Drosophila melanogaster: one gene and its partners. The protein of the gene in region 3 purifies or fractionates together with the protein of the main gene of each other region. This does not show direct contact. Each region holds a gene or a part of one and is shown on either strand. Other genes may lie near its edges.

Region 1 (4,398 bases), on a different chromosome or scaffold from region 3:
CGCGTCGCCTCGCAGGACACGCCCTTCAGCGGCGAGGCGGTCGAGGTACTGGTCTATGTGGCGACGCCAGAGAATATCTATTGGTTGGGCGATGACCCGGTCGAGGAGATTGCCCAGCAGATCGTATCCTGCCGCGGTCCCAGCGGACACAATGCCGAGTACCTGTTGCGCCTGGCCCTGTTCATGCACGAGGAGATTCCCGGCGTGAGGGACGATCATCTGTTCGAGCTGGAGCAATTGGTTTTAGAGGAACTGTACCGCCGCCAAATACCTCTGTCATCTGTGATGGGCCGCAATCCAGATAGGATACGCCGCGACTCGCACGAGGACATCCGCCGCCCGCCATCCTTCGAGTTCACCTCCCGTGTGCCCGACACCAAGCTGCGTTGCCTGAACATTTGATTTCTGGTGTGCTGGCGGCCAAGTGCTATGCAGGTCGCGTTTTTTGCTACAGCAAATTCCAAATTATTGATCGACATTTTAGCTTGTTAGGTAACCAGAGTCTATTGCCAAATTTGACGTATTTCTTTAAATTGTAAATAATCCTAGGCCTAATCATAAGCAGCAACTCCTCCATAAGTGATCTGATTTAGCCAATAAGCTAGGATTAAGCACAAAAAAACTTTTTACACGCAACTGTCAGGGAGTTAAATTACATATGAAAAGAAATGAATACAGTATTTGGGTTTTTAATTAAATACAAAAGCATTCGCGCAAAATGTGAATATGTGGGATCGTCTAGATCAGGCGAAACTAAAACTAATTGGTGAGGATTTCGGCGGCACGATTCTCCATCAGTTTCTCCATGTTCGTGATGGCGCCCATCCATGTGTCCAGAGTGCTGGCCATGCCGACAATCTGGCTGCGGTTGAGGACGCGTGGTTGCACCCACGACATGTTAACCACTCCAGCCACTTGGTCAATCTCGCCGCGGACGAGATCCAAAGCCAGAGCCTTCATGATAAGCAGTTCCACTTCCTTGGCGGGCAGTTTGGTCTCTTGCGCGATGTCGGTAAAGGAGATGGCTCGCTCGATGGCTGAGCGCTTGAAGGTCATCTCCATGAGGCAAAGGAGGGAGATCTTCTGGCGCAACTTGACCTCCTGGGCAGCCAAATCGGGAATCTTGGACCAGATTTTCTTCATGTCATTAAACCTGCAAAGGAATAATAGAAAGTGTTAGTTACTGCAGATATTAAATTGCTATTACTACACACTTGTTAATATCGCCCGTGTTGAAGGCTTTAAGAAGTTCCATGAGCCACTCATTTTCCGTGCCCTTAAGCGACTCAAGAATGGGATGAGCCAGCAATTCGCCTATGTTGTAGACACCATCGCCCAAGAGAGCAGCCAGACCCAAGAAGAATGCCTGCTGGGCCCATTGATCACGGGGGTACTCATCCATGGAGCAGCCCAGAAACTGTAGGCCACATCGGTAGTAATCGCTGTGCTTGCCCACTCGCCGATAATACTGGGATGCCAGCATGTAGTATTTGCCGTGAACGGGCGTCACATTACCCGCTTCCTCTAGGACATCACGCAGTTCCTCGATGATCTTCTTGGTGGCATTCAGATCGTTCAGGTTGCTGAGGTACAGATTACCCTGCATCACCTGCAGATACCAAACGGCCTCGTCGCAGATCTTCACCTTGTCCTTCATCTTCTCCAAGAACTCGATGGCCTCCTTCTTGTCACCGATGTTGTCAACCACCACCTCGAGAATCTGGATGAGGCCATAGGGGTTTATTCTGCAAATACAATACATTAGATTCTGCCGAGTCATTTGCAGAAGCCGACTCACTTGGTCTCGAAGGTGGACAGGAAATTCTGGTAGAGCTGCAGCAGCGCAGTTTCGTCCTGCAAGGATTCGTGGCGCACAAAGGTCACCAGTTTGATGGTCAGCTCATTCCAGAGTCTGTAAAATAATTGTATTACAAGAGGAAAATTGAAATTTAAAGCCCAGATCTAACTTTTCATTGTAGAGCTCCTCGATGAGCGTCCATTCGGCGGCGAGTTCTTTGTTGGTGGTCTTCTTCTGGGTCGCCAGATAGGCGGTGACATTAGGCTGAGGATTGGACATCGCAACTGCGCTTTGTGTTGAATTAATTTCAAATGTAATGTTTAATGTATTCCCAAACTACAAAAATTGCAAATCACAATCGCCGACGCAGCTGTCACATTGACAGATCGCTTGTGTGGCCGTTTGTTTTTTTTTAGCTTATTTTGGTATTTTGTATTTTTGGGCGAATTTTTATGTAAAATTTATTTATGAACTAAAAAAGGCTTACATAATAACAAATGGCTGTATTTTTTATTTTTATATCACATGGAAAGCATTATTTATGATATTATTTCAGTGCCTAGAAACTACTCGATGACTCATTCGATAACAACAGCTGCGGGGCTTGGGCTTACGTTGTACTCACCGTCTGGTCACACTAACCGAACAGCTGTTTCTGCGTGAAGTTGTGTACGCGGAAGAAACAACGTTTCAATTCGTTTTGGAGCTCGCAGCGAAACAGTTTATATTTCCGCACTCCAGGATTCCACTTGGCAGAGAGTCGCCGCGCAGCCAATTAGCCAGTTAGCCCGATCCGCGAGAATATCGATATTTAACCGGGCCACAGCAGCACTGCCAACAAAACCAAATACAACAACTCGAGTGTGCGCCCTGAACTAACTAAAAAAAAGTAAAGCTGTCGTGTGTTTTGCACATTTAACTATTTGTTAGCCAAATAAAGTAGCAATCGAATTTCGCGAACGAAAGTGCCGCAATTAGTGGTTATATAAATGTAAGCCAAACAACGCGTCGTGCAAGAAACTATGTGGATTTGTTCGCAGAAAGTTGACAAACTGAGAAGAACTAGTTAGCGACCACAACGACCGCTCCAACTGGAAACCGCACTCCGCCAAAAGAGATCCTCATTAGCATTTCTTTTGTGGATTAAGGCGCGTGTCAACTATTTGTCACCGATCTCCAAGCAAACGATCGATTCCTCGTCGAAAAGCAAGGTTAGTTCTGGGTTCTATTTTCGACTTTTTGGGGGTCACTACTCTGCCCGACGAGGTTCCCCCTTTTGGCTTCGAAATTCCAAGCAGCATGGCCCTACTGATTGGGCCAGCGGTTCCCATTGGATACGATCGCGTTCCATTGAGAACTGCATAATTGGTTGTACATTGTATCCCACTATTTGGTTAGTAGACAGTTATGCAATTGGGGCTCCCCAATCTTATCACTCAGTGGGCACCACGTCGCCGCCGTCTATTAAAAGTTCTTGGCTTGCAATGGGTGTTGGACAACTTTCTCTTTGAAAAGCAAAAGCCACTTGAGCACAGGAGCGTTGGGTAAAGAAACGATAATTAAATTACTTTCGAGCTGATAGAGAATTTGGAACTCAAAAAGCTATTGAATTGGAAGATTCAACATTTGTATGGATTTGTACATAAACGAAATATATCAACCGAATTGTACTGCATTTTACAGTATGTAAATGCCTTCTTTTTGAGTAATATTGCACAGATGTCGCCTATTTTGTGCGTCCTTCGCAGTAAAAAAAACACTTGAACCAAATCGGCCAGAGTTTACTGTAACATCCTGCTGCGCTGTCAACATTTCTTTTCATTTCCTGACGCCACTGTGCGTTTTTGGTAGAAAGAAAGTACTACTACTTTCTCGATGTAGCAGTTGATTTCCTTGGCCTGTTCCCCACTTTACCAATTTACCAAAATCGAAATGGGCGACATCTGGCAGCGACAGAAACGATGCACAACTATAATATATATATATATGGATATGTATGGTATATATGAAAACCGGCTGAAGGCGTATTACGGTTATGTGAAGAGCGGCAATTTCAAAAATCCAAAACAAATTCCGAAAAAAAAAACGCCGTCGGATGACGACTTCATCTTCATCTCCGTCCCAGACGACAGACAGCAACAGCATCTGGCTATTAAAAGCAAAAGTGAAAAATGCCACACAGTCGCCGCCGATGCAGTGGCCACAAAAACCAAACAAAAGCAAAAGAAAAAGATGTAGAAAAAACATAAACCATAAAACTGCTGCAACAAGTGAAGCAGCTTTGTCAAGTGCATTGCCGCTTCCTTGTTTTTTTTTTTTTTTTTTGTATTTTGTTGCTCACTTTTTGTTGCTGCTGCAGCCAAGTAGTAATATTATTCAATTACAGGCCAATCCAGTTGCCCCGAGTTGCGAAAGAGTTGGGTTCGGCTTGGTTTCTCGCATGTTCATATTCGATTTTTGTGCCAAGCTCTTGGGCAGGCAGCCGCGATCGAAATTATAGCAACTGCAGTCTTCTCGTCAATGTCAATAGTTAAATAGATAGATCACCCTGCAAGGCAGCTCATTCATGCGTCATTCAAGAGGTGCACAAATAAGATCCA
Region 2 (4,079 bases), on a different chromosome or scaffold from region 3:
CTGATGCGTTCCCTGTCCAAGCTAATCAAAGTGAACAATCCGGATCTGGTGCTATTCGTGGGCGAGGCACTGGTGGGCAACGAAGCCGTCGACCAGCTGGTCAAGTTCAATCAGTCGCTGGCCGACTACTCATCCAACGAGAACCCGCACATCATCGACGGCATAGTGTTGACCAAGTTCGATACCATCGATGACAAGGTGGGCGCCGCCATCTCCATGACCTACATAACCGGCCAGCCAATTGTGTTCGTGGGCACGGGTCAGACGTATGCCGACCTAAAGGCCATCAATGTGAACGCCGTGGTCAATTCCCTGATGAAGTAAGCCAGCCGTCGATCCGGCTATCCTTCCAATGCTCCTTGTTTGCATCCACTCTTTTCACCGAATCAAATATATGGCTTTTGTCTAGTTTGTTGTTGCGTAAATGGAATGCTTTGCCCACTGTTGGCTGTTGGTTCGTTTAGGATTAAGGATCGCTTGGCACTTCGATTACAAGTTGTTTTGTTTTTTTTTATTTTTTTATTAATGTTTATAACTTTATGCGTACAAAGAAGAGTTTAGTGTGTTGGGGGAAAAAATGGGGCGGGAGTAGTGTGTATGAATTAATATAATCTATTTGTAGAACTCGTGCTCCTGCTCGTCCTTCTTGATATTGTTCTTGTAGCCCTTCTCGAAGTCCTTGGCCAAAACGATGTAGCGATTCTCACGCACCGCGTGCATGCCCGCCTCTTGGCAAATGGCGTTGATATCGGCACCGGAGATCTTGTCCGGCCGCGCCACAAACTCCTCCAAATCGACATCCTCGCTTAGGTTCATCTTCGAGGTGATGGTGGAGAAGACGAGTCGCTTCTGCCGGCGATCGGGCAGCGGGAACTCAATCTTACGATCCAATCGACCAGGTCGCAGCAATGCCGGATCGAGTGTGTCCGCCCTGTTGGTAGCCATGATCACCTTAACGTTCGTGGTCTGATCGAACCCGTCCATCTGGTTGAGCAGCTCGAGCAGAATGCGCTGCACCTCGCGATCGGCGCCAGTCTGCGCATCGAAACGCTTCGTGGCAATCGCATCGATCTCGTCAATGAAGATGATGGCCGGCGCGTTCTCCTTGGCCAGCCTGAAAACGTCGCGCACCATGCGCGGTCCCTCGCCGAGGTACTTCTGCACGAACTCCGAGCCGACGACGCGTATGAACGACGCCGTCGTATGATGGGCCACCGCCTTGGCCAACATGGTCTTGCCGCAACCGGGCGGACCGTACATAAGCACGCCGCGCGGCGGATCGATGCCAATCTGCTTGTACAGCTCGAAGTGGGTCAGCGGCAGTTCGACTGCCTCGCGGATCTCCTGCTTCTGCATGTCCATGCCACCAATGTCCGCATAGCTAACGTCGGGCTTCTCATCCGGCTGCAGCATCGAAATGGAGCTATCCGCCTCTGGTGGCAGCACGTCCACCAGCGCGTTGCTGTGCTTGTGCAGGGCCACCGAGGCGGAGGGCTTCAGCAGCTCGCGATCGATGGTGGACAGGATGCGCACATAGTAATTGGAGCCGGTGGTGGAGCCCACAATGCCCGTGTTCTGATCGACGGCCTCCAGGAACTGGCCAATCACCAGCGGCACCGACTGGATGCGCTTCACCTCCTCCTGGGCGTGCAGATACTCCTTTTTCAGGTTTCGCTGCTCGTCCTTGATGTACTCCTCCTGCACTTCAATGAACTCCAGTGTCTTTTGCAGTTTCTACAACACAATGGCCGCTTAGATGGGTGATCAAATGGAAGACCAGTGGACGACTCACCTTGTAACGCACGTAGAGATCCTCCATGTCCAGTTCGTCCAGGGAACTGTGCGCATCTTTTAGCTTCAAGTCGGAGAGCTCGTCCTGGTGGAAAAAGTGGAATTGGGAAAGAGGTAATTAGTACGCATGCCAGGCGGCGCAGAGAGGCAACTACGCACCTTTTCCGGTATCAGTACGTCCATGTTGTACGGCATTCTTTTCGTTCAGCAATGAGTCTCGTTTTATTAGTTTGCGTTTTCTGCGAGGCGACCAAAATGACTCGTCAAAAACAAGCCAGCAGTGCGTTGTGGTGGCAACCCTGTCCGCAATCGATTGTGATCTATCGATGGGGCCATTTATCTATCAAATTGTGCTGCTCTTTCAATCGGTTTTTTTTTTCGATATATACTCTTTCTGATAAGAAAGCAACTCCTCTTTATTGGACAATATCCTATACCAGTTAGTCTGTAAAGCTAAAATGTTGTATACAAATAAATCTAATATCACATGTCATGTTTCTCACTTAATATCCGGAAAGTATTTTTTAATACGTTTCAAAGCATCTGGTGATGGGAAAAAATCAGCTGTCTGATAATTGCCCGATATATACCAGCTCTGATTGGAACAAAAGCTGATAACAGATTTATTACTAACAAAAACTATTTCGAATGCAGATCGCTTATAAGTAATTGATAAAATCGCAAGTTATTCTAAGCAATTCACGTAGAACCATGCCAAAGTATCGCTGCTCGAGACGCAACTATCGATAGTTCGAGTACCTTTCTCGCCAGCGGGTACAAGTGTGTACACACTGGCAAAACCCGACCATTTTGACGCGATTTCGATTTCCCATAAGAAAAAAAAAGAGTAGAAAAACACACACATTTAACATTTCGGTCGCTCCTGCTGCTTCTGTGTGTGCTATGTGTGCGTGTGCGAACGAACCAAATATATACACACACGAGCGCTGGTAGGACAGTGAAATCGAATTTGCTGTTTATATAGCACAATTCGATGGCTGATAATGCCGCCGCCGTCGCCGAAAAATCGTTTCCCCAATATCGCTAGCATCAGAACGGGAAAGAGAACGGGTACGAGTACGATTCCGATTCCGATTCCGAGTACGTTTCCCACAAAGTATCGTTGTCGTTGTCGTCGTTGTCCTGCTGCCGTGCCCCGCCCCCTCTGGCCGCGCCGCCGCCCCCTCTGCGCCGTACGCACGCATCGATTTGGGCTAAACGTTAGATACCTCCTAACGCAGTTGTTAGGGTGGAAAGAACGGCCAGGGAAAATTGAATGCGCTACACTGGTGGTCGAGCTGCTGCAATGCCGTGCTTAAATTTAAGTGCAAGGCACTGATACGGATCCGTTGGCGCTCCTGGTCTGGTCCGTATCCAAGCGAAAAGAACAAAATATACAAGAAAAAAACAAGAAACAAAACAACAAAACGGAAAGCAATCCCGTGAAATCCCGGAATACAGTGCAATACAACGAACCGAAACACAGAACAAAACGAATAGAACGAAACAAAACGAAACGTATTTAGATACGCAGGAGAGACCAAGTCGGGATATCCAAGTGGACAGTGTGGTCTTGTGCAGTGGAGTGGTAGTTATGCTATATATAGCTGTTGGCCAAAACAATAGTGTCCGATAACAGAGCGAGATCAATTCGAGGAGTTGAAAATGTTTATTGTATAATTTCCAATTGAGCAGGTGTGCGTGCGAGTGTGTGTGCGTACGTGTGTGTGAGTAGTTTTTGTTTTTCGCTGCTTCTTCTTGCGGTTTATTTGTCAACAAAAAGAAGAAGGAAGAACGAAGCAGTGTGCGTGCAGCAGTAAATTGTTGTCCGCACACCCCGCACTGCTTGCAGGAGTGGCGAAGCAGTTAACTTGTGCAACGCAACCACGGACGACCCAGTGGCCTCCACATGAAGACCATGTCGCGCTTCGGCCTGCGCCGTGGCTTCAAGTTCTCGGAGGAGCAGGTCAACGGCAAGAATCCAATTGGACCGGCAACGGCACCAGCCACGGCCGCTGCCTCATCTAATCCGCGCAAAAAACGACAGACCCGGCAGGAGGAGGATGTGGACGCGGAACAGGAAGAGGTGGAACCGCACGAGGATCAGCTGGAAGCGGAACAAGAGCCGCTCTCGCTGATCTGCAGCCTGCCGCTGGAGCGGCTGCCCCGTTTGGTGGAGAAGCTGCATCAGATGACGGAGGAACGGGAACGAGAACGGGAGAGGGAGCGCGAGCGCGAGCGGGAAGAGGCCGCCGGCCTGGGTGGAGCCGCGCACTCGAAGGTCCTGT
Region 3 (5,157 bases):
CGGTGGGTATGCCCATGTTTATAAAGTTAATTCGACCCAGTCTAAAGTTCTGGAACGTGTCAAGGAAAGAAGTATTAACGAGTGCTTCTCTTTCCACTTACCTGCGTTCTACCAAATCTACCAATAATTCTTGTGTCTTTGAATCTACATTGAGTCAGGAAAGATTTATAATTGTAGCAACATTATAGAGGGGACCATAGCCATACATGAAACTATTAGAGATTTATTAATATTAAAGTGTAGAATTCTTTGCATTAATAATGCATATTACAATGTTCGAGTTTTATATTTGTCGTATTAATTGGCAAGCAGAAAAGTATCATAAGTCCAAATGTTCTACAGTTTTGTATATTTGTAAATTAATGATAATCTAAGTACTGTAAAACTGGAGAACATTTATTCCTGTAAAAATAAGCAATAAAAAATATTTATAAAAATTTTAATTAGTTTTTTCGTGAGTAAAGGGTATCTGATAGTCGAGGCACTCGACTATAGAATTGTTATGAATGTCATGCAATTAATGAAATTGTTTTATTTCTCCGACTCATCCTGAAAGGAATCACCAAAGAGACGCCACAGCTTATTAGGGCATAATTGCGGACATTATTTACAATAAAAAAACACGAAATTTATGTAATACAATGATTAATATATTTTAGTCATATGTCCAACATCCAGGACGACAAAAAGTACTTTATGTGTTAAGTGACTTAATTGTGGACTCCCACTAGTCAAAAAAATATTTTATAAATCAACCAAGATAAGGAAAGAATAAATCATAAGACTTCTTTAGCTTAATACGACCTTAAAATAATTAATGTGTGTATTGCATATACACTAGAAATACACACACTAGAAATATACTTTGCCATCCATTAGGTGAAGGCCTAATCCAAGGCCTCCCTACCATGGATTGGCACAGATAAATTTGTAGACATTTGCAGTCTTATGCTGAAGACAATGTCGTGGTGAAATATTTAGTAAAAATGACATCGTAACTCTATTTTACCCATGGCTGCAATTTTTAACAAATAACAAGTACAATACGCCGACGGTATTAAAAGAATATAAAAGAATTTTTATGATCGACATTTTACATTTAATTTAAGAACATCTAACTTTAAATGTAACGCTTCCGGTGTTATTTGCATAACTTCTTACATTTTGTCATCCTAATCATCGAAGCTAGACGATAGCAAAAAATTAGCTGCTTGTTCCTCGTTCTTTTCACAAGCGAAGTACGCTTGCAGTACAAGGGCCTCTGGGAATCCAAGAGCTTTTAGCTAGAAGAAGAATATATTAAGTAACTCGACAGTCCATATATAATTATTCACTCCTATATACCCGTTCTATTGCGTCCTTATCTTGGCGATTTAAACGAATGGTTGATACTCCTAAAGGTTGTTCCAAGTCTTCGTTATCCGCTGCGCTACCGCTTTGATGTGCTGCACTTGTACCCGCGGCTGATCTTTGTGCTGAAGTAGCTACTTCTAAATCTGGAGAAAAGAGGTCAACATTGTCCAAAGTTGAAGGAATCCGCGCATTCGAAACGGGAGGAACGGTGGCGCCTGACTCCGATTCGCGGTCAATCGGTTGATTAAGCATATTGAGAAACGCATCTTGGTTCTCCGAAATAAGTTGTAAAAGGGCTGGGTTTGTCTGACCAATCTATACGTAAAAAAAATTATCATTTACGTGTCATGTAATTATTATTATAAGTGTACTTACCTGCTGCAATACTGCATGCAAAAGATGAGGGTTTTGATAAATTAAAGATCGCATTTGAAGAAACTGTGGCTGGCTACGTAAAAATTCAAAGGGGTCTGAAACGTAAATATAAATAATTAAATAATAATTAAATTAACTAAAAACATATAGTGATGCCCTGTCCTTGAAGAGAATAGTGACAAAAATTCGTGAATTATCGCTCCTTTAGTGTCTGTTGACATATATATGTAAATGATACTGCGGGACAACGAGCTCACAAACATTTTAGTGAATCTTTAACAGCTGCATATATTTCCAGTACTAAGAGAACTCTTTTATTATTTATTAACGAATGTGCAACATAAGTTTTGATCAACAATATTTCTTGACCAGGAAAACTAACGCAATTATGTTAAGGCCGTATAATTTCATTAAAGAGCGAGAGCCAAATCGGGTTTATTAATTTCACTATGTTTTGAAGTGTGCAAATTTAGTACTTCTGGGTAGAAATTATATATTTTCGTTTCATACAAGAATACATAAATTGACTGCTGATTGAAATCCCATCAAGTTACCTGAATTTGATTCTGTTGAACGCTCGGCAGAGGTTGCCGACGCAGGTTGCGGTCCGGAGGGGATTAGACTAGGATTCGTTGATTCATTCAGCCTATTGTAAAAAGTACCTTCCTCTGCAGGTATGCCATTAATGAGATATTCAACGGCTCTTTCCGGGTTGTTATAACTAGCAGCCATCGCACGTTCAACCTGCTCTCTTGGGTAACCCATTTCCACCATTGATAGGACTGTTTGGTTGTATTCGTCACCCATAAGCAAATTAGATTCAGCGCGCGATTGTAAGGAAGCCTGGGCCAACTCGCCAATCAATTCGTCACTAGATAAAGGTCTGGTTTCACGTGATAAAACTGAATCTTCTGTATTTGTGGAACTAGGCGAATTGGTATGGTTGGCTTCTTCGCAAGGCATAGATTGCTTTGAATCGTCGGTGCTAGTCAATTTATTACTTTCTTTTACACTAAGTTGATTACGATTTGAACTAGACGAATCGCGTGTCAACATTACCACAATGAACTTTTTTTCATCAACGTTGTATGAACCAACGGTGCGGTCATCCGTCAATATGACGCCAGCGTAGATCAGTTTTTGTTTTTCGGCGACGTACTCTGGACCGCGCTCCTCGAATATTTTCTTCTTCAGTTCCAAAACCTTTTGTAATCAGAATCCCTGCTTATTATGGTACAACAAATTAATTGTAAGAAATACCTGTATAAGCACACATATGCATTTGCAATAATTGTATATACCATACATGTGAATATACTAGTATTTGACTATTTGTACACATACCGTTTTTTCCGGGGCAAACTCAATAGTAAAAGTTTGCTGTTGAAGATTTTTAATTGTAATAATCATCTTGTGTATCAGACAAAACCAAAACTTAATTAAATATACATATGCATACACATATGCAAACTCGAAAGTTAGTTCCCAATATCGCTTGATAAAAACGATTTGTCATCAGTGTGACCGCACATGGACTGGCAAATTATACCTTCTCGCTTAAAAGACACAAAATCGCAGCACAAACCAAAGAGTTCAATAGTCCTTATAACATTTTCACACATCAAGAAAGATGTAAAGATTTGTAATGAAATTTATAATGAAATATGAAATATTGAAGTCATAATGAACGTAACAAATAAACAATTGTCCGTGGTTTGACTGTAGTTAGTATTTCATTATATCAACGATTTAGATCATACTATATACAGGTTATACCTGTAGTATATAAGTCTATTTATAATATACCATCGGTTGATGATCAATAAATTTCAAAGAAATTTAATTTTTAATTCCGTTTAAGTAGTTCGGTATTTCTTTAAAAATACTTTAGTTTAACCAAAGACACTAGAATAACAAGATGCGTAACGGCCATACATTGGTTTGGCACTATGCAGCCACTTCTTTGGTGACTGCCAAAATTACTCTCTTTCCGCTCACTCCCGCTGAGAGCGTAAGAAATCTAAAAATATAATTTGATTGCTTGTGTGAGTAAAAACAAGAGACGAGAACGCGTATAAGTGTGCGTGTTGTGCTAGAAGACGATTTTCGGGCCGAAATCAATTCTGATCGAAGAAACGAATTTACATGGTACATATTAGGGTAGTTTTTGCCAATTTCCTAGCAATATGATAAAATAAAAAAATTTTTAAAAATTCGCGCCCTGACTATTATAATTTTAAAGCTTTTTAAATTTGTTTGTTAAAATCGCCGCTCGAATTAGCTACCGTTTACACATTTATATTTATGTTTAATTCTAATTTGTCTCTCATCTGACAATTTTTTAAAAGAGAAATTATTTTTTTAAAACACTTTTAATGTTAATGTTACATCATATTAAGTCAAATGATTTAATAAATATACTAAATAATTAAATATGATAACTGTTTATTGCAAAAGTAATATCAAAGTAATATACTAGAATAATTCTAATGCTTTGTTCATATCTTGAGGCACGAAGTGCGGACACAAGCACTCAACAATCATTGCCTTATTAATTTTTCACACGCCGCAAGATGAATACTCTAATGACAAATATTCTTATATAAAGTCATTTTTGAAATTTATTTTTGTGATAATATGTACATAGATTTGGCTATTTCTGATATATTTTCAAATAATAATAACGTTAAGGCAATGCAAAACAAGAATTTTTCGCATGGTGCCAATTGATCAAAAATAATATAGATTTAAAGTCTAAAAACTTCTGAGGTGAAGGGCATATTTTGTCAAATTTACAATGCATGAGCATACGTGTGCACACATACAGATGTCTCCTACCACTTTGTGCGTTGAAAAGAGCTGTTCGCTGTAGCGCTCTTCGCTCTCTCGCTCTCAAACAAAAATTCGAGAGAGCCTGGAGCCACCTCTAGAGCCACGGCCAAAAAATCGTGTGCCAAAAAATCGTATGGCGTTACGCATCTTGTTATTCTAGGGTCTTTGGGCAAACCAATGTATGGCCGTTACGCATCTTGTTATTCTAGTGTCTTTGGTAATACCGTATTCCTTTCAAAAGATATACATCAATGCTTATCTTCTGTCTTGTGAACATATATGATTTGAGTTCATATAAGATTAACGAAAATTTCGAAATTAAGATAACTATTGCTGTATCATCAGTGGGGTGTTTAAATGTAGTAAATATCGAGAATTTTAAAAGATACAATTTCAAAAATGACAAATGTGTTAATTCTAAATAATTGTATATACCATAAAAACAAAAAATAAAAATTTGCTGTTGAAGATTTTTAATTGTAATAATAATCTTGTGCATTAGACATTTGCAAAGAATAATACAAAAAATACACGAATGCATTGTTTTTCCACTTATCAATTAATAATAATAAATAAGTGTATTCATGTGAATTAATT
Region 4 (4,378 bases), on a different chromosome or scaffold from region 3:
ACGAGCTTCTGGGACTTCTGAGAGAACGTTTCAATTTCACTGTTAACTTCCGAAATTCTAGAGGATGGGCTGGACGTTTGGGCAATACTACCTTTCGACTTGGACTCTTGGGAATAGTTATGCGAAATGAGGCAGATATAGCCGCATCCGGTGCCTTCAATCGAATTAATCGCTTTGCTGAGTTTGATACCATACACCAAAGTTGGAAATTTGAGACAGCTTTTCTATACCGCTACACTTCCGATTTGGATACTCATGGAAAAAGTGGTAACTTTCTGTCGCCATTCAGCGACAGAGTTTGGTTGTTCTGTCTATTAACCCTTGGTGCTTTTAGCATCATTTGGGTGCTATTTGAAATTATCGACTACAAGATATTGCGTATACGAGTTAATAGTCAAAAGCTGGAACATTTAAATCAGAAAAGTTCGGTGATTTGCATTAAGACCACATGCATTGAACGAATTTTACAGACATTTGGAGCCTGCTGCCAACAGGGATTGGACCCAAATCCTGTAGATCGTTCAGTGCGCTTTTTGGTAATGACACTGTTCCTATTCTCCCTGGTTATGTACAACTATTATACGTCTTCCGTCGTGGGCGGATTGCTTAGTTCTTCAGATCAGGGTCCCTCTACAGTCGACGAAATAACTGCAAGCCCCTTGAAAATATCATTCGAAGACATTGGTTACTACAAAGTCTTATTCCGAGTAAGTTCGTTGAAAACATTATATGTATATTTATATTACCATTACTCGATTTACTTAACAGGAGAGTCAAAATCGATCTATTACAAGATTAATAGAGAAAAAGCTGTCTTCGTCAAGAAGTTTAAATGAATTGCCAATTTTTAGCCATATTGAGGATGCTGTCCCATATCTCAAAGCCGGCGGATTTGCTTTTCATTGCGAAGTGGTGGACGCTTATCCGGTGATTTCAGAATATTTTGATGCCAACGAGATCTGTGATCTGCGTGAAGTCTCCGGTCTGATGGAGGTCGAAATTTTGAATTGGATTTTACACAAGAACAGCCAGTATACCGAGATTTTCAAAACAGCGTAAGTATTGAGTCATTCGCATGGTTTTGGTTTGATTCTGTCTTTGCTTAACTGGCCAAAAAGAACTGTTTTTTTTTAACCCGGTCTTATTCCACATCAGTATATTTCCCAAACATTCCTTGGGAAGTAAGATAGTTTTATAATTATTTTATAATAGTTATATAATTGTAATAAACTCTATATTTTCTTTTGTAGTATGTGTAATGCCCAGGAAAAAGGTTTTGTAGAGCGCATTCTTCGACGGCGGCAAATTAAAAAGCCAGCCTGTCAATCATTATACACCGTTTACCCTGTAAGCTTGTCAGGAGTGCTACCTGGATTTGTTATTTTAATTTGTAAGAGTATTAACAAATTTTCCTAGAACTTAAATTTGTATACATGTTTTTATTTAATAGGCGGATTTGGAGCATCGCTTCTACTTTTGTGCTTGGAAAAAGTATATGCACATTTTGGACCACGAAAATTTTGCGGTTTTTAAATTTTTATTTTGTGTTTCCTTTATGATGATTTTTTTGATTTGTTTTATTTTATAATTTTTGTAATAAGGAAAAGTGTATTGGATATGGCTTCTGGTTCATCCCAGTTTATGTTCCATTCCACGCGTTCCAAAAATAAACGCGTAGTTCAAAATATAAACAAAAGTAAACTCCGAATGCAGCCCTGTGCTCAATTTTTCAACTTCCTGTCACGCTGTGTGTGTGTTCTTTCTTTCCTTTGATTCTGTTGCCGAAGCAAGGTAAGTTTTTGGGGTTGTTACATTTTAAGCATCGGTTAAGTGAAAATAAACATACAAATACATACTTAAAGTAGTCCTTAACACTTGTAAACTCTTACGAGTGAAATACATGACAATTGTTGATTGAACAATGAGAATGATTGCAGTGCACATGTAAAATTGACAAGCAATCAAAATTGCTAAAAGATACCCGTGAACAAAAAAAATATTGTGACATTTAAATTTATACATTAAGGTAAGTGAATTTCCGCGTGATTAGTTATCTGTGGATGGCCACAGAGGCTTCCCCAGGAAACAAATTTCGCACACCCCCAACCGTCCACATGTTAATAACCACATGAATGTATTTCAGATCTGGTCTACAGAATTAACAATTAACAATGCCGCAGAATGAGTATATGGAACGCCATCGCAAGCTGTATGGCCGGCGATTGGATTACGAGGAACGGAAACGCAAGAAGGAAGCGCGTCTTCCCAAGGACCGAGCACGAAAGGCTCGCAAGTTGCGCGGCATCAAGGCCAAACTCTTTAATAAGGAGCGACGCAATGAAAAGATTCAGATTAAGAAGAAGATCCAGGCCCACGAAGAGAAGAAGGTCAAAAAGCAGGAGGAGAAGGTCGAGGATGGAGCCCTGCCGCATTATCTGCTCGACAGAGGCATCCAGTCCAGCGCCAAGGTCCTGTCCAATATGATCAAGCAGAAGCGCAAGGAGAAGGCAGGCAAGTGGGACGTGCCCATTCCCAAAGTACGCGCTCAGTCAGATGCTGAGGTCTTCAAAGTACTAAAGACCGGAAAGACAAAGCGAAAGGCATGGAAGCGCATGGTCACAAAAGTCACATTCGTCGGTGAGAACTTCACACGCAAGCCACCAAAGTTCGAGCGTTTCATTCGACCCATGGGTCTGCGCATGAAGAAGGCTCACGTTACGCATCCAGAACTGAAAGCCACCTTCAATCTGCCCATCATTGGCGTCAAGAAGAACCCCAGCTCGCCCATGTTCACTTCCTTGGGTGTAATTACAAAGGGTACTGTGATCGAAGTCAACATCTCTGAGCTGGGTTTGGTAACGCAAACGGGAAAAGTTGTCTGGGGCAAATACGCTCAGGTCACGAACAATCCAGAAAACGATGGTGTTATCAATGCAGTGCTGCTTGTCTAACCCCGAAAATGTCGCTACCTAATTTAAGAGTTTGATTTAATAAACAAACATATACAATAACATGAACAATCGTTTGATTCTCTTAGCTTATTATACTATTAGCTGTAGCAATGCCATATATATAAACACACATATCTATACCAACATCTTTTTGTTTCTTGCAGTTTGGTGACTGGAATACAAGATGCAGATCTTCGTTAAGACCCTCACGGGCAAGACCATCACTCTTGAGGTCGAACCGTCGGATACTATCGAAAATGTCAAAGCCAAGATTCAGGACAAAGAAGGAATTCCTCCAGATCAGCAGCGTCTGATCTTCGCTGGCAAGCAGCTGGAAGATGGCCGCACCCTCTCTGACTATAACATTCAGAAGGAGTCCACTTTGCACTTGGTGCTCCGCCTGCGTGGTGGTGCCAAGAAGCGCAAGAAGAAGAACTACTCCACTCCCAAGAAAATCAAGCACAAGAGGAAGAAGGTCAAGCTAGCTGTCCTGAAATACTACAAGGTACACACAACAATCTACCGACACCATACCGAAAACATTCTGATCTGTTCTTGGAATTCTTGAGTCTTGGTCTTGTGCTCATTGGCTTAAGATTTGGATATCAGAGTGACTTTACCAGTGCCCTATATTGAATGAACATGTGTACGATCTCAGTATTTAATCACTTTCTATGCTCTTTCCTTTCCATAGGTTGACGAGAACGGCAAGATCCACCGTCTCCGTCGCGAGTGCCCTGGTGAGAACTGCGGCGCCGGCGTCTTCATGGCTGCCCACGAAGATCGTCACTACTGCGGCAAGTGCAACCTGACCTTTGTCTTCAGCAAACCAGAGGAAAAGTAATTTTGCTACATAAGATCATGTACGTTTCCAGAAATCAAATAAAGGTAGTAATTGAATAATAAATTCAATCGCTGAAATTTTCCTTTTTTTTTATTGTTAGTTAGCACTAGCGTGGTTAGTAATTGTTTAGCAAAACACTAAAGTTTCATTTAGGGTGTATGGTTTATTTGTGAAAATATTGAATACATTTTGTATACTCGATTTTTACTCGACCTTGAGAAATGCAATTTGTTTATGGTTAACCACTCAAACGTTAACTATGTCGACGTTAAGGCTTTTGGACAAGAAAGTCAGTATATCGGTGGCTTCCTCGATTCTCTTCGATGTCGGCTTGCCAGCGCCATGGCCCGCCTTCTGGTAGACGCGCAACAGAACGGGATTTTTCTGGAATTCCGAGTCGCGAACAGCTTCCTGGAGGGCCGCAATGAACTTGAGCGAATGCAAAGGGCTGACACGATCGTCGTGGTCGGCGGTCAGGATCAAAGTCGATGGGTATTCCGTTTCGGCGCCCTTCGGAGTGTGCACATTATGCAGCGGCGAGAACTTGTACAGGTTGTCAAAGTGCTCCTTCTCCGATGGGTTT

Evidence for each region.
Region 1: the proteins of Rad23 (region 3) and Rpn9 purify together in Drosophila melanogaster (affinity purification with western blotting, with the first as the bait; one study listed by BioGRID). This does not show direct contact.
Region 2: the proteins of Rad23 (region 3) and Rpt3 purify together in Drosophila melanogaster (affinity purification with western blotting, with the first as the bait; one study listed by BioGRID). This does not show direct contact.
Region 4: the proteins of Rad23 (region 3) and RpS27A purify together in Drosophila melanogaster (affinity purification with western blotting, with the first as the bait; one study listed by BioGRID). This does not show direct contact.

What each region holds. Positions count from the first base shown.
Region 1 is NT_033777.3:23,730,829-23,735,226, forward strand, and holds Rpn9 (regulatory particle non-ATPase 9), read right to left. Parts: upstream 2,635-4,398; 5' UTR 2,424-2,634; intron 2,184-2,423; exon of another isoform or gene 2,083-2,183; 5' UTR 2,078-2,082; coding exon 1,968-2,077; intron 1,913-1,967; coding exon 1,799-1,912; intron 1,746-1,798; coding exon 1,215-1,745; intron 1,154-1,214; coding exon 760-1,153; 3' UTR 547-759; downstream 1-546. Other genes in the region: CG10365 (uncharacterized protein), read left to right, coding at 1-402.
Region 2 is NC_004354.4:11,123,220-11,127,298, reverse strand, and holds Rpt3 (regulatory particle triple-A ATPase 3), read right to left. Parts: upstream 2,199-4,079; 5' UTR 1,987-2,198; coding exon 1,951-1,986; intron 1,877-1,950; coding exon 1,793-1,876; intron 1,735-1,792; coding exon 613-1,734; 3' UTR 514-612; downstream 1-513. Other genes in the region: SrpRalpha (signal recognition particle receptor alpha), read left to right, coding at 1-324; CG11122 (uncharacterized protein), read left to right, coding at 3,701-4,079.
Region 3 is NC_004353.4:306,205-311,361, reverse strand, and holds Rad23 (Rad23), read right to left. Parts: upstream 3,270-5,157; 5' UTR 3,139-3,269; coding exon 3,073-3,138; intron 2,950-3,072; exon of another isoform or gene 2,932-2,949; coding exon 2,283-2,931; intron 1,824-2,282; coding exon 1,729-1,823; intron 1,669-1,728; coding exon 1,345-1,668; intron 1,284-1,344; coding exon 1,173-1,283; 3' UTR 540-1,172; downstream 1-539.
Region 4 is NT_033779.5:10,406,596-10,410,973, forward strand, and holds RpS27A (ribosomal protein S27A), read left to right. Parts: upstream 1-1,756; 5' UTR 1,757-1,791; exon of another isoform or gene 1,792-2,026; intron 2,027-2,143; exon of another isoform or gene 2,144-2,171; coding exon of another isoform or gene 2,172-2,951; exon of another isoform or gene 2,952-3,015; intron 3,016-3,115; 5' UTR 3,116-3,135; coding exon 3,136-3,456; intron 3,457-3,645; coding exon 3,646-3,795; 3' UTR 3,796-3,861; downstream 3,862-4,378. Other genes in the region: Ir31a (ionotropic receptor 31a), read left to right, coding at 1-707, 769-1,055, 1,251-1,390, 1,451-1,533; Ip259 (intronic protein 259), read left to right, coding at 2,172-2,951; CG5355 (uncharacterized protein), read right to left, coding at 4,042-4,378.